Linked DNA regions of Danio rerio. The protein of the gene in region 1 interacts with the protein of each later gene in a biochemical or structural test. Links are inferred from orthologs where the notes say so. Each region holds a gene or a part of one and is shown in the gene's direction. Other genes may lie near its edges.

The links.
Region 2: the proteins of cul1b (region 1) and dcun1d4 are reported together in a solved structure, tested with the Homo sapiens proteins (2 studies listed by BioGRID, with this or other methods). The link is inferred for Danio rerio from reciprocal best matches to the Homo sapiens genes CUL1 and DCUN1D4.
Region 3: of the proteins of cul1b (region 1) and si:ch1073-205c8.3, one has a biochemical effect on the other in vitro, tested with the Homo sapiens proteins (7 studies listed by BioGRID). The link is inferred for Danio rerio from reciprocal best matches to the Homo sapiens genes CUL1 and UBE2M.
Region 4: of the proteins of cul1b (region 1) and senp8, one has a biochemical effect on the other in vitro, tested with the Homo sapiens proteins (2 studies listed by BioGRID). The link is inferred for Danio rerio from reciprocal best matches to the Homo sapiens genes CUL1 and SENP8.

What each region holds. Positions count from the first base shown.
Region 1 is NC_133199.1:21,267,512-21,271,535, reverse strand, and holds the start of cul1b (cullin-1b), read left to right. Parts: upstream 1-1,182; 5' UTR 1,183-1,251; intron 1,252-4,024. UniProt on the Homo sapiens protein: Core component of multiple cullin-RING-based SCF (SKP1-CUL1-F-box protein) E3 ubiquitin-protein ligase complexes, which mediate the ubiquitination of proteins involved in cell cycle progression, signal transduction and transcription.
Region 2 is NC_133195.1:25,817,091-25,820,658, reverse strand, and holds part of dcun1d4 (DCN1-like protein 4), read left to right. Parts: coding exon 1-56; intron 57-1,873; coding exon 1,874-1,962; intron 1,963-3,568. UniProt on the Homo sapiens protein: Contributes to the neddylation of all cullins by transferring NEDD8 from N-terminally acetylated NEDD8-conjugating E2s enzyme to different cullin C-terminal domain-RBX complexes which are necessary for the activation of cullin-RING E3 ubiquitin ligases (CRLs).
Region 3 is NC_133194.1:51,592,678-51,596,890, forward strand, and holds the start of si:ch1073-205c8.3 (NEDD8-conjugating enzyme Ubc12), read left to right. Parts: upstream 1-1,360; 5' UTR 1,361-1,458; coding exon 1,459-1,573; intron 1,574-3,243; coding exon 3,244-3,338; intron 3,339-3,443; coding exon 3,444-3,482; intron 3,483-3,667; coding exon 3,668-3,771; intron 3,772-4,213.
Region 4 is NC_133182.1:57,822,502-57,826,693, reverse strand, and holds the start of senp8 (sentrin-specific protease 8), read left to right. Parts: upstream 1-1,369; 5' UTR 1,370-1,463; intron 1,464-4,192. UniProt on the Homo sapiens protein: Protease that catalyzes two essential functions in the NEDD8 pathway: processing of full-length NEDD8 to its mature form and deconjugation of NEDD8 from targeted proteins such as cullins or p53.

The sequences.
Region 1 (4,024 bases):
CTGTCTTGTGATTCGTGTCCAATCAAATCACACAAAGAAGTTAAATCGCATCACAATGAACTACCTCAAGACAAGGGCGATTTATAATTTCAGCAAACAGTTTGGAAGCATTAAACATGTCCAAGATGTCTAAATTTTTACATGCATTGACCCAGAGGCTGTTTAGATGCATGTCTTTGAAAAAAAAATTAAGGATGTTTACTGTATGATGACCAAAATGGCCTTAATCAAAGACGCAAGACATCAACATCATGTCAGATTGACATTGTACCCTAACGTCAATGTCCAACCTATACCAAATATCAACGTCTAATGATGTTACAGCTTGTTGTTGTGTGGATGTTACCACTACGTCTATCAGACGTTGGATTTTGGTTTCCATACCTGACGAATAAGTGTCAGTACTTGACGTCAATGACATTGGTTTTAGATGTTGGCTGGACGTTGGATTTTGGTCACTTTCCAACACAACCTAAAATCAACCAAATATCACCGTCATTTGACGTCATTATTGGACATCAAAATAACATCCCTAGACCCTGGCTATTGAATTTTGGTCACCTGACATCACAACCTAAATCTAACCTAGTATTAACGTCTTATGATGTCGTGTGCCTGCTGGGCAATAACTAAATGCACTACAGAATGTTACGTTTACACACACATGCACAAATTACATGTAAACAAATCAGCTTTTTACAGCGTAATACTCACTAGTCACTACTCTCGAGTACTTTTGGAAGGTCTACTTTTTTTTGGAAGGTTTACTCATACTTTGAGTAATATTTACAACAGATACTTTTACTCTACTTCCACTACATTTTAAGCAAGTAATGGTACTTTTACTTGAGTATGATTTTTCAGTTCTCTTTCCACCACTCACTGACTGAGTAATATTTACAACAGATACTTTTACTCTACTTTCAACTACATTTTTAGGCAAGTAATGGTACTTTCACATGAGTATGATTTTTCAGTACTCTTTCCACCACTGGTGGGTTTTACACACATTTTTTGAGTCATTCGCAGCAGGAATGGTCAAAGTGGTTCCTGGCACCTGAAAGAGTGAAGCTCCTACGCAGCTGGTGTACTACGGTGAGTGGACAGTAGGCGTCGCTGTGTGTCTCTGCGCTGTGGCGTATGACGTTTCACTCGCTCTAATACGGAATTCCCAGTCATCTCCAGTCAAACACACACAGACTGAGCGCAGGGCCTCGACCTCACACTGCTCGACGTTACAAACACACACAGGTAAGACTAAAAATCTTTAAACACGTGTCAGGCGTCCCGGTTTGACATAAATGAAAACTAAATGGACGTGTCTGGCAATGTGTCGATAAGGAAGAGAGACATTTTTGTGATATTACACACCAGTTAAGAATAGGTAGCCATTTTACATCATTATATCTCAAAAGCCTCGGAGAATAACAGTAGTGGGTTAATAACAAATGTTTGTCTTGATTTTCAGGTTATATTTAAATGACGTACGTTTGGTTGACATTATGGTATTAATAGTTCCTCTTAGCGGCAGTTTACAAGGAAGGGTACCTGAAGCTAACGAGCTTGCTACCTAGCATTGCTAATCTATTGATGCTGTTTACAAAACAATATCGCCATATAAATGTTCATGAATTAAATACTTAGTGCGTTTAATGTGTTAAGAAGTATATTATGGAGACCTAAAGCTGTAAACAAATGCTGAGGCAAAACGAAGAGTCCTTTACACACATTCACATGAATTCTGCTGTCTCAGATGCCTACCCTAGACAGCACTTTTGGCCCAAAATGTTGTCTACTGGGTTGGCAGTTTTTGAGACATAGACATTTTAATTGGTTTTCATTAAGTTTCCTAAACCTCATGTGCCAGTGTGAGGTAAGTTTTCCTTTGAAATTATAACCTCAGTCAGGAGTTTTCAAAGTGGTTGGTTTATGAGTCATGCTAATGTTTGGGTATGTGTCAACACACATCAGTAGGTTTTATATAAATGTAAGGGGTTAAAATAGTAATGTAGTTTTGTGCAACTGTCACTCATAATGTACTATCACATTATGTTAGGGTGTTGAGAAAAATTATTTGTTGCGGTTTGTGTCTTTTTCAGAGTTTGTCTAATTTATTCTGAGCTCTTATGAATTTTTGTATTGGTGAGAGTACATACGTTTACAGAAAACACAGTAAAACGTGACAGTAGTTTATAGGACAAATGTTTTGTCAAGCATATTTTGGAAAAGAATCACTTGGCATATTACAAGATCAATTTATAATAACAACTATTTCATTGAATTTTACCAGTGCTTGTCTAAAAGCTAGATCTTATTTTGAAATTCATTAAAAAAAAAAAAAAAAAAAATATATATATATATATATATATATATATATATATATATATATATATATATATATATTTGATCACTTAAAGTTTGTACCATTTAATTATTTGTGATTATATGCTAGCAGAAGTTAACAAGTAATAGTTGACATATCTCTTGTGTGTTTTTGATATGCTTCACTAGTGCTTTGCATCAATGATTTACAGACGCTACTTGGATTCCATTCTGTTCTTGATTTCATTGGCAATATAAATGCAATAAAAGGGATACAGATTTTTCTAAAAATGAACAGTGAGCACCATTTTATAAAGACTGAATTAATCTCCATTAATATAGGCCTTGTGGCTTAACTTATCAATGCTTTCTGTTTGCCACCAAAATTCTTAATTAGAACGAATACTTAGTAGGGATACCCTAATAAATGTTTGTCTTTTAATGAATGTAAATGATTAGTTCTAGTCTGATTCTTCTATTTTCTTTTTAGTTGTACTTTTCTATTTTCAGCTTCTTGTCTTATACTGACACTTTAGCTTACACGGAGAATTCAAATTCTGTTTTCATTTACTAACATTTACTATTTACTTGTTTCAAACCAACTTGAGTTGTTTTGTTGAACACAAAAGAAGATATTTTGAAGTATGTTGGAAACCTGTAACAAGTTAGGAAAAGCATGCTATGAAAGTCTGTGGTTACAGGTTTCCAACATATCCATATTTTGATTTAAATCCAACATTTTGTAATATAAAGCTCAATATTGTTTGGAAAAAGTTGAGAATGAGTAAATGGTGACAGAATATCATAAATGAACTTAATTCAAACACAACACTTTAATCAAGTGGAAGGATTAAGCTCATAATTATAGAAACTATAATTATTTTAAAGTATGTGATGTGCGGTTATTTAAATTGCAGTAAGCAGACATGTAAACCCTAGGGCTGCACGATATTGAAAAAATATGATATTGCGATATTTTATTCATCTGTGATATATAATTGCGATATGAATACAATTTAATTGATTTGGACTGATTGTGATGGTTTTGTAGGAGAGAGAATCATTCATGAAATATAATAAACACATTAAACGCTTGGATAAATACAATAGAGCTAAATTAAAAGTAAAATAAACAGCGCTATATGATTTTTGTTGGGACTCTAACAGTATTTAGCTACAGAAATCGAATAATTAAATGTAAATGAGCACTGTACAGTTTCATAAATAATTTAAAAAAAAACTATATCATTAATTAAAGTTACAAATGGTACAATTTCTAGTGCCTGAATGTTCACACAGTGATAGGCTTTAAAGAGCCCATATTATTCATGAAATAGGGTCATATTTTGGTTGTAAGGGTCTCCAACAACAGTCTAATATGCATGCAAGGTCAAAAAACACTTTCATGGTCTTATTATCTGCATTTATTTTTACCTAATTATCCCAGCGACTCCCGTATGAATCGTCCAGTGATTCAATTGTTCCCAAACCCCTCCTTAGCGCGAAGCTAATCTGCGCTGATTGGACCGATGACAGTCTGTTGCGAATGGTTGACACTAACTGCTTTCAGCCAGAGACAGAGCGAATAGCCAGCAGCTAATCAACAATATAGAAGTAGTCAGAGTGTATACACGCTCGATAGTGTAAGGCGTGGAGTTTAGCTGCCAGTGGATGAATGTAAATACAGACGACTAACTATTTT
Region 2 (3,568 bases), on another chromosome or scaffold:
AAGAGGAGACCCACTGCTGGAGATGACCTGTCTGCTAAGAAGAGCCGGCAGGATAAGTATGCTCAAATAAAATAACATTGACCTTTTTTATATATACATTTCTCCAGCTTTTCATTTCCCCTTTTTCTCTTTAAAAAAAAAAATTTAGGAAAAAAACATGATTAAAAATTATAAATAAAATTAGAAAAGGGGGGTAACAAAGTGGTTGTCATGGGGGTTACAAAATTTACAATACATTTGAAGCACATGATCACATATTGTTTACAATGACAAACTCAGTCCATTTTACCAATACTTGTTGTACTTTTTTATCAAGTCTGAGGTTAAATGTCAGTCTCTCCATACAGTGCAATTCTATTACAATTCCTATCCATTGACCTCTTGTTGAAGGATCAACCTGAAACTATTTTTGAGTACTGACTTTTTTGCTTCTTACCAAAAGTTTGAATTTTTTTTCAGTAGTTGGAAGAATTTCTGGCATTTTTTCAAGTTATTATGTTATACACTAGTAGTCCAATTCTTCTCTAGTTATCTTTTTTATCCAGCTATTCATTTTAGTCCATTTTCCATCTTTTTTTATTCCCTCACACACACACACACACACACACATACAATGATACAACATTTATTTTATCAGATGGATAGAACTGTTTTTGTGAAGAACTCAATGTTTGGGGTGATTTAATACAGGAGTGCATCTACATAAATTATTAAAATGAACTTTAAAATAGATTTTTATGATGGGGGAAACATACAAATGAGAAATAACAAGTGTTTTATATGTGTCTGGTATTAATGGCAGTTGGATAAAAATATTGTAATGGCGTATATGCACACAGACTTTTCATTTCAGCCAGGCAGCCTCAGCTCATCCGGTAAACTCTCTTTCCATTGTAAAATTGCCAGGTTTAAGGTCTGATTTCTTTACAAATCAGTGATCATCACTGCCTGATAGATATATGATATGAAGTGGGTCTCAGACCGGACAAGAAGCACTGCATTTAATCCATTTCCCCTGCCATGTCTTTAAAATATGACAGTTTATTTTGCCCCAGTATTTTCAATGGAGTTTCTGCGCTAACCTGCTGATACTGACTGCGGTTTTCTTCTTATTTCATAATTGAACAATTAATCGAATGCTTAAGTCTCTTTAACTGAATGTATTGTTATTACATTACAACATCAGTGCTGTAAAAGGAACCTTATGAAATTGAAAATAGTCACATTAAGCTTTCACTGAAAGTTTATCATTGGCTGAAAAACACTAGCTGTGCATATAGCCCATTGTGTCCATATAGTCACTATGAAATCTAATTGAATTAGTCCTTGTTAAAGCAGTTTCTTGTGCTTGCATGGTTTAAACTCATTTGATGTTTAACAGAGAGAAAAAGAAAGGGGAAATGCAACTAATAAACTCTAAATCCAGAATTATTCAACTTTGCCATTAGTCTACAAGCTCCTGGTCAACAATAAGTCATATCTGACATTGCAGATCCTGCAATGTGCGCATCTGCAATAGTTGTATTGCATTATCGATGCTGAAACGATATATTGTGCAGCCCTAACAAACGCTCATTCATCTACCCAGCCTTTAATTGAGTAAGTCAACTAGGATTCTGTCAGATCAATTAGGATTAGCATTTATCCATGACAGAAACAGATCTCTACAGTAATGTTAAAAGAAAGTTGCATAACTTTCATAACTGCTAATTGTACCACCAGATCTGTGTTTGTGTGGGTGGATTTCTGCCCTCAGAGCATGTGTCTCTTCTTATTTGTATCAGATGCATCATGCTTGTGCCTTAATCTGTGTACAAGTGTGTGCTAATGTGTGTTTAAATAGCCGTCGCTTTGTCCTGTCTGTTTTTTTCAGTGTTTACAGAAAACAGGAGGCATTGCAAATCCAGGAAGCCGAAGCTTTTTCTAGCAAGAGATGTTTAGAGTGGTTTTATGAATATGCAGGTATGTGGGCAAAATCAGTCATATTCAGTCATTGTGCTATTCTTTGGACTTTTTTATGTAATCTAGAAAAGGTATAATCAGATCAAAATTGGCTGAGTTGATGTAATTTGACTTGATAATGTCTAGAAGGCAGGGAAAATGTCAGCTAAATTTAGGCTACTCTCTGCTATTTAGTTCACTCAGAAAGGAAAAACTGCTGTAACTTTACTAACCCTCAGACCACCCAAGATTTTTTTTTGTGTATAGTAGAACGTTAAAGAAATGTTTTAGATGAAACGGTGGAGGAACTGTGGAAACGCATATCTATTGGTACTTAGAGAGTCAAAAAACATACACATGCAAAACAAAATAATACCAGTGGCTTCTGATGATGTCTACTAATATTGAGGTTTAATGAGACACTACCAGGGTGGTTTGCCAAACATGTGGATTATATGTAGTAAACATTCCTTTCAATAACATTTGTATATTCTTAATCATGGTGCAGTGGTCTCAAACCTAATTCCTGGAGGGCCGCAGCTCTACCTCCAACTCACACCTGCTTAATAGCCTGTTTCCATTGAGTGGTACAGTACGGTGCAGTACGGGTCACCTTTAGCAGGCTTGTGTTTCCACTGCCAAAGGGGTACCAATAGTAGATTCTGCTCTTCATCTTGGCTTTGTGACTGTTTATCAAGATGACGACAAGTTTTGTTTAAGCTCAGGTTGACCATGGCTGGTAATTATATGTATATATTATTATGGTGTAATGTCTCAGCTGTGTTTAAAAAAATAGCGGTTCCTTTGTTTTCATTCTGCTGCTTTTCCACGAACTAGTGATGTATCTCTATAAACCAATAGCCTTCCAAAAGTGTACCCAAAAAGTGGTACAGTACGTATTGTTTTTAGGTACATTGACAGTGGAAGCGGCCATAAAAGTGTACCGTACCGTACTGTACCACTCAGTAGTCTTGAACACCTTAATTAGTTGGATCAGCTGTGTTTGATTAGGGTTGGAGTCGAACTATGCAAAGCTGCGGCAATCCAGGAATTGAGCTTTAGACGTATGGTGTAAAGAGTTAGTTCACCATAAAAAAAAAAAACATCGTTTTATTTTTTTGTTTTTTTTCACGTTTTTCATAACTATTTACTTACAACTGTATCTTCATCAGAAGATAAAACCTCCCCATCAAAAACTACTAATCTAAAATATTTTCAATGTTTCTTTAAATAAAGTAAACTGTGTTCCATTGGCAAAAATAGTTGTAGCTTTTTACCTAGACATTTAAATGAACTTATTTTGGAGCAGTGACATTTTTATCTAAGGTTATCATGCCCTTAGAATCTTATACCGGCCCATGCCAACTTCATTCACAAGTTTCTTTTCCTCAGTGTTTGTATAGGGTGCACATTCATGAGAGTGCTGTTCTGCATTTTGCACTTGGTCGTGCTGCTGACATATATCTCGAATACGCCTTCTCATGAATGTGCACTCTATACTGACACTGAGGAAATGAAACCGTTGAATAATGTTGTTATTCTTGGTTTATGTGTGCAGAAAATTATTCTAGTAGCTTCATGATATTCCGATTTAACCATTGAAGACACATGGAGTGTTTTGACAGTT
Region 3 (4,213 bases), on another chromosome or scaffold:
CAGTGATGGATGACTGAGGTAACTACTGGCACTGTGGTTACCATGGCATTTATACAGTATGTGGGTTACGCTGTCACACACACACACACAGACAGGTGAAATAAGGGCCTAAATGACAGAAGCAGAGCAGAGAACACACGTTCATCACAAGCACAGCTTTACCATCAGTGGATGAACACACACACACACACACACACACAGCAGAGAGAGAGAGAGAGAGAGAGAGAGAGAGAGAGAGAGAGAGAGAGAGAGAGAGAGAGAGAGAGAAAGCGCTAACCAGCTAACCAACCCTCACACAGTCCAGCGGCAGCAGATCGCAGGTCTGAAACACACACACACACACACAAATAAACAGACACGCTAGTTAGCAGGTTAGCAGCTCCATCCAGCAGCGCTACTAACCCTAACCAGCAGCTGAGGGAAGAGAATTTGGCCCAGGGTGGGTTAGTTTAAATGAGCAGTTCTCTCCCTCACACACACACACACACACACACACACACACACACACACACACACACACACACACACAGATGACTAGCTGAGCAGCACACAGGACTGCCGTTAGAGAAGCAGCCTATCTAGTGCCCTCACCTGCTCGTGTGGAGGCGCATACTCTCTGGCCGAGCATCGGACTGTTTCTGCGGCGGAACACAATGAGCTTCCGTGTTTCTGCTGCTCAGCCCTCTCACCGAGCCGTTACCGACACCGAGAGGCTGATCCCGGTCCCTCAGCCCTCCAGCCGCTCAATCCCCGCCGTGTGGATCCGCAGGCCGGTGTTCGGGAGCGCAGCGGCGGATAAACGTGTCTTTTGTTCGCGCTCCGCTATTGTGCTGCTGCGCGTCTGATGGCGGATCCGCGTTCATTCAGCAGCAGACGCGGGAAACGGGCCACAACCTCTGACAGGACGCTGACGCCATCACATGCGATTCTGCTCCCCGAAATCAAATAAATAAATAAATATGGTAAATAAAAAATATGGAGAGTAAAAAAATAGCAAAGCTCCTCCCAGTCCTCTGGTCACCGCCGAACGGCACTATGGGAAATGTGGTCCGCCGGTGCCCTACCCAAAACATCCGCTTTCAGTATCACCGCAGATTTATGATAAAACTGACACAATTATATAATAGCTGTTATTAAAAAAACATTCATCTTGACAACAACAACACTATCAACAATAAGAAGATTTATTAACTTTAAAGTATAAGTTTGCGGTTTCTGTCTAGTTAATTGTGTTCTGAAATCAGCTGAAAGAACAGTGTGTGAACAGAGCTAGCATTTGCGGCTAACACACACACTCACACAGGGAGAGAGAGAGAGAGAGAGAGAGACTGACTCACACACACCGGCTCCCTCTACAGCTGCTGTGAAACACACTCACACACACACACACACACACTCTCTCTCCCTCAGAGCGCAGCTCCCGAACACACCGCGCTGTTTGCTCTGCAGAGGCCGAAGATGATCAAGCTTTTCTCGCTGAAGCAGCAGAAGAAGGACGAGGAGTCAGCCGGCGGGCCGCGCGCGGGGGGCGGCGGGAAGAAGGCGAGCGCGGCCCAGCTGCGGATACAGAAGGGTGAGAGACACACACACACTCTTGCTCTCGCGCACACACATATACACGCACGCAAACACACCGGGCCGGTACCGGAGCTCGCACAGCCGCGGGGCCGCCGACCGGGTCGCTGAGGAGAAACAGCGATAGCGTTAGCATTAGCCGCGCGCTAACAACATCCGGCGCTCCTCGGAGATTCTGGCCCATAAAACAAGACAAAACAGACAGTTTAGACATTCACAGTCCGAGCAGGAGGAGAACACCGATCAACCGTCGAGCTGCGCGGACAACTCTGCGTTTCTGCCCGCGGAGAGGTAAAGTTTAAGTCTCAGTCAAAACACTGAGGCCTACAGACCCGGAGGAGGAGGAGAGCTGGAGCTGTTCATAACCAGAGGAGACCTTCAGCAAAGATCTGCTGTGCTCCACAAACCATCCACACGATATCACACACACAGTAACAGTCAAACTGGAGTGAGTGTGTGTGTGTGTTCATACAGCTGAGCAGAGTCTGGTCCCCATTCAGCAGAAACACCAACTCGGCTGAGGAAACACAGCCGATACTGATGAGGAGAAACGGCTTTAAACACACACACACACACACACACACACACACACACACACACACACACACACACACACACACACACACACACACTGTTTTAACTGTTCCAGGGAAGTGTCCTCAGTTAAGTTAATAAAGCACAGTGTGTTTTCGGCTGTTCTCCATCACTCACGCTTTATTTGCTCCACACCTGTGAGTTACTTCTAATAAACACAAAAGAAGATAGTGTGAAGAATGCTGGAGGAATCTGGCTTTGACTTCCGGTGTTGGTTTTTCCTACTCTGGACCTGAAAGTTTGCAGTGTTGTTCAGATGTGCTGCTTTGAGAGGTGAGCGGTGTGTACATGAGCAGAGCTCTCCTGCGGGACCCTTTAACACTCTTACACACTTTGAGTCTTGTTTTAAGACCCAATCACGACCGCTGTAACAACAATGACGCGGCTTTAATATTTAGATGAGCGTGAACAGAAGCTGAAGATGCAGAGGAACAGCCCCACTGCTTCTGTACAAACCACCGACAGCCAATCAGAATCAGCCTGCGCAGACGAGGATCATGGGACGCTGAGCTCTGGGTGATGGCACTGCCTGTATGATGCTGTAGTTCATGTGTTGTTGTATGACTTGTTAATCTACGCTGCGGCTGACATGGCCACAACACATAAACACATGATGACAAGCCCTGATCAACACAGACGGCTGATGGAGGAGTGTGGAGATCAGCACCTCCTCTGTGTGCTTCTGCTCATCAATAATGACTGTACTGGCCCACACTGATGAAGAACAGCAGGAGATGAAGCAGCCGTGGTGGAGCAGAGAGGTGTGCACGTGTGTTTTTGTGACATATCAGGACACAAATCTGTATATGACAGGTGTAACACGGGTATTACAAAAAGGTGAAATCTGTGGACATTGGTGACGTCCTCATTTCTCCAAAAGCTTCTAAATCCCACTGAGTGAGGGAGAGAGTAAAGCTGCACACCGGCTCCTGTGATGGCTCGGGTTAGGGCAATACTGTATACGGTTTGAACAGTATAAAATTAATGGAAACCTATGTAATGTCCCCGCTTTTCACAAAAACAAGTGTGTGTGTGTGTTAGAGAAAAGCTAATGCTGCTGTTTCTCTTTGTCAGACATCAATGAGCTGAACCTCCCGAAGACCTGCGAGATCGTCTTTCCAGACCAGGACGACCTGCTGAACTTTAAGCTCATCATCTCTCCAGACGAGGTGTGTGTTCTGTGTGCTGAGGAGTGTGTGTGTGTGTGTGTGTGTGTGTGTGTGTGCTGATCTGGGGAAGCGCTGTACTGACCGCTGCTCGTCTTCTTTCCTCAGGGTTTCTATAAAGGAGGGAAGTTCGTCTTCAGTTTTAAGGTGAGCAGCAGAGGGGCGAGCGGCGCGTCCGTGTCCAGCTCTCTCCAGTGTGCTGTCGCCGCTGCACTCACACTGTTCTGCTTGTTTCTGTAGTGTTCTGATCTGTATGTGAGTGATGTTGTGAAACTTCCGTGCGCTGATCTCTGCCGTTGTGGGAAGGTTTTTCTGACGTGTTTCTCCTTTAGGTAGGGCAGGGTTATCCGCACGACCCCCCCAAAGTCAAGTGTGAAACGATGGTTTATCACCCCAACATTGACCTGGAGGGAAACGTCTGTCTAAATATACTGAGGTATGGTGTGCAGCTTTACACTGTTGCTCATCTCCATCTTCTTCCAGCTGAACACATTCATCTCTTAATGCTCAGGCTGTTTCTACATGCATCTCTCATTTCTCTTTGCTATTTGGGCTTATTGGAAGCTGATTAGAATAAAACGTGAGGATCATCTTCTGATAAGATGTACTTTTAGAGGAAAGTGATGTTCATATATGTGGACTGAATGTACATAAACACTGTTTCCTGCCTGTCTGTAATGCATATTTAATATAGGAATATTTTGAACATGTTTTGACTATCAGAGAGTGAAATCAACATTTTTGCCCATTATGGACGGTTAAAACAGTGTTTGGGACACGTCATATGCTGCAGAACAGTTGCAGGATGATTCTGTGTGTCTGTAACAACATATAAAACACTCAGACTATCTTAAACAGACCCTGCAGAGCTCGAGTGA
Region 4 (4,192 bases), on another chromosome or scaffold:
TACATCCCTCAAAATGGTTTATAAAGAACCATGGTAAACAATACAGGGAGCATGTCAAAAGTTGTCACTGAACGAATGTGCACATATAAAACCAACTTAACCTCAATGTCAAATGTTGCTAACGTGATGAACATTTCTGGCTACTCTGAGAACACCTAAAAGTGAACTTCACACATCCACTATTCAAATCACTGCAACATCAGATGAATAAAGGTCAAACAAACTGACTAAGACAAATTTATAAAACAAAAAAGCAGCAGTATCATTTGTTAACAGTAGCAACTTTGTATACTAGTCCACCAAATAAATGCAATGGCATCGATACACCCTTAAGTCCACAAATACTACTAGGACCACTGATTGTCCAAAAATAGACCAGTGAATGAAAGGGAAATGAAACATTGTGACAGGGTCCGGATGACTGTGCAGATTTGCCCCGTGATTACTGCAGTGCTGGGGTGAAGTAAGTCTTCAATAATACATGCACCATCATCATCATCATCATCCTCGTTGTCTCCACCCAGGACATCTGTCACACTTCAAAAGGGGTTTACTCAGCGGCTCTATAATGTCAGCTCAAAGTTATTCTAACATAAGTACACTCATATCACCCTTCGCCGGTTACCCTGGTGTCTACTGACACTGAAGCAAGAGAAATATCACAATTTGGTGATGCACGTATGCCACGAGTTAGCGCGCAAACGTCCCGACAAGCAGACATAAAGCAAGGGATGAAACTCTGATGTCTCGCTCGCTCCCACTGCTGCTGGGGAACTTCGATTCAACAGCGGGTCGGGTTAATGGGAACGATAAGTTCGCCGACAGCATAAGTGCAAAAACAACACAGAATAAACCTCACCTCTATGAGCTCAGTGTAAAAATCCAGTGTGCTGCGCTTCTCCTTTAAGGACAGATCAAATCCAGCGCAGCTCTAATATCCCAGAAAGGTCTCTCTCAGATTGTCCTTTGCAACTTTCCCGTGTCCAAACATGCGTGCCGTTGTGCCATTTTGATTAAAAGAAAACTACAGGCTTTTTCCCCATTGAAAATTCCTAACAGTGCGCCGTTTCTTTTCTCGTGGGAGTCGCTCGCTGAAACTCCTTTCTGTTTTTTCTGCTTAATCAGTGCTGCTTCTCATCAGCGTTCAAGCGCGCGCTGCGCGTACTCGCTGCGGCTCTTGGACTCGGCGGATGGGCGGGGTCAGCTGCGGCGATGGGCGGTGGCTGCCTTTCACAGAACAAATACGTAACTAGACGCGTCACGACAACAAGCCAATCAACGACGAGCTTGAGAAAGAGGCGTGTACGTCTGATCCGCCCCTTAAAGACTGTCGCAAAGGGTGTAAAAGCACGACATTTTCTGTCACAACATTTAAATGTTTACGGCAGCTGCCCTCATCGCGCCAGTGGTAGAGAAAGGTGGACGGTATGATAGTTTTATTTTGGTGCTGTTTCTTTTGCGAGGTAAGAAACGATGTTTACAGACTAGATTAACAGATAAAGAAGGTAGAGAACGAAAAATTATTTGCTTTGGAGTCGTTGTGTTAGTTTGGCCTGCACCAGTGTAGTGCATGGAAGACAACTTTAATGCTCGAGAACGGTTAAAATAATAGTGTAAATACTGTAACGTTAATAGGCTATTTTGAAGGGGTCTACTTATGTTACTAAAAAGTACAGGTCAGGGTGTAAGTGTTGTTCTTGAAATAATTACAAAACTAAAGTGATATGAGCTGGTGATAAATTACTGTTAGTAGAATGGGCAGATGAACTGATATGTCAACACATTGATGAATAGATTTTATAACATAGTATTAGCCACTAGAGTATGCATTTAAATCAATAAAATCTCTAAATTGTCTCCACAGTTTATGCAAATAACTTTGGCACATTTAATTGCAGATGCTTTTACACATTTTAAGTGCAGTTGAAGCCAGAATTATTAGCCCCCCTGTTTATTTTTTCCCCATCTTATGTTTAACGAAGAGAAAAAAATAACACCTTTCTGAACATAATAGTTTTAATAACTCATTTCTTATTACTGATTTATTTTATCTTTGCCATGATAACAGCACATAATATTTGATTAGATATTTTTCAAGACACTTCTATACAGATTAATGGGAAATTTTAAGGGTTAACTTGGTTAATTTGGGTTACCTAGGCAGGTTAGAGTAATCAGGCGAGTTATTTCTATAATGATGGTTTGTTCTGTAGACTGTATCAAAAAAATAGCTGAAAGGGGCTAATAATTTTGTCCTTAAAATGGTTTAAAAAAAAATAAAAACTGCTTTTATTCTAGCCGAAATAAAACAAATAAAAAAACATTATCAGACATACAGTGAAAAATTACTTGCTCTGTTAACATCATTTGGGTAAATATTCAAAAATACAAATAATAATAAAAAAATATATATATATATCAAATGGGGGTTAATAATGGGGTAAATCATTTTGACATCAGCTGCATACACCATGACAAGTATTCAATTATTTAAATTTTACTATAAATAACATATTTATTGTGTAATCAGTAGAATTAATAGTACAGCCATAACGGCAAATAGGTAGTTATGTAAGCATATAAATAAATAACTACACTGAAAATGGTGCTGTTTAGGAAAATACAAACCAAAGGGGTCCCACACTTTTTGAAAGTAAATGAATTTTACACGTATTTATTCAAGGCCTGACAAGTACCTAAAAACAAACATAGGTCATTAAAAGTGCTTGAATTAAATATGAAATAAAATTTGTTATGTAATTTAAACAATTTTACTGCTGTTAAAAACTGTTTAGAAAACTGAGAAATTCTTCATTTTAAAATCTTAAATTTAAGTCTAGTACAGTAACGCTGACAAATAATGTGCATTTTATTAATATTTCAGAAACTGCACTTGAGTATTACCTGCATTGAAATCAACAAATTTTATTCACGTTCTTAGAACATGTCTGTTTTTAAATGGTATTTTTTACTGTGACATTTTTAGGTGAAGTGAATTGTTAAGTACAGTAAGGACTTTCACACACTAAATAAGCTGGGGTGTAAATTACAAAGGAGCTTGATTTAAAGTTATGATGCTTTAAAAAGTCTTTGAATATGCTGTTTGTAAAAGTTACCTCAGATATTAGTTGCCACAGTGAGACAGTACTAATAAAAAATAAAATAAAGAAATATAAATTGTTGGGAAATAACAAATTTAATAAGTTAGTAAGATCAATACAGTCAGTGGTTGTGTCATTAGTATATATGTTGATAAATAGATTTGTAACGTATTCAAATGATGCTGTGAATGGTAAATAAAAACATCTTTATATAGTCATTCTATTATTTGCAGTAAATGAAACATCCTAAAGTGATGCTGGAGCACTTTCAAAGTAACCTTTAAATTGTATTATTGTTGAAATGACCTACTATTACAGTAGGTACACAGAAATGTGAGTACTGAGGGTAAAAAAGGCTGTTACAACATGAAAATAGTGAGTGGGGATAGTAAAATGTACTGTTTAGGCCAGGGGTGCCCAAACTCAGTCCTGGAGGGTCGTTGTCCTGCATATTTTAGTTTCAACATCAATTAAACACACCTGAACCAGCTAATCAAGCTCTTTCTAGCTATACTAGATACTTCCAGACAGGTGTGTTGAAGAAAGTTGGAGCTAAACTATGCAGGACACTGGCCCTCCAGGACCGAGTTTGGGCACCTCTGCTTTAAGCGATTTATTTATTTTAGAAAATAAGTAGATTAAGTTAATAATAATAAAAATAATAATAATAATGTAATTGTGCACTTTTACAATTCAATCTGTACAAATGCAACCAAACAAATTATATTAATTATAACAAAAATCAATTGATGACATGACATGACTAATACCAACTAATTATCATTTGCACCTTTTTTGGCCAGTGCTGTTTCCACAACTAGGTTTTGGCCATTTTCCAGCAATACAATTTGAAATAATTTACAATATAATTTAAAATGCATTAGCAAAGTCCTTTTATATATATTTTAATAATTACATGAGAATAAGTATGTTGTTGCATTTTTACATGTATATAATTTACTCTGAATAATGATATAACACAATCTGACCCATTTGTTACTTTTTAAACAATATTTTACACATAAAAAAAAAGTATATGCACTTTATTTGCATAATCACTTTTGTAGATATAATCTGATGCAGACACCAAA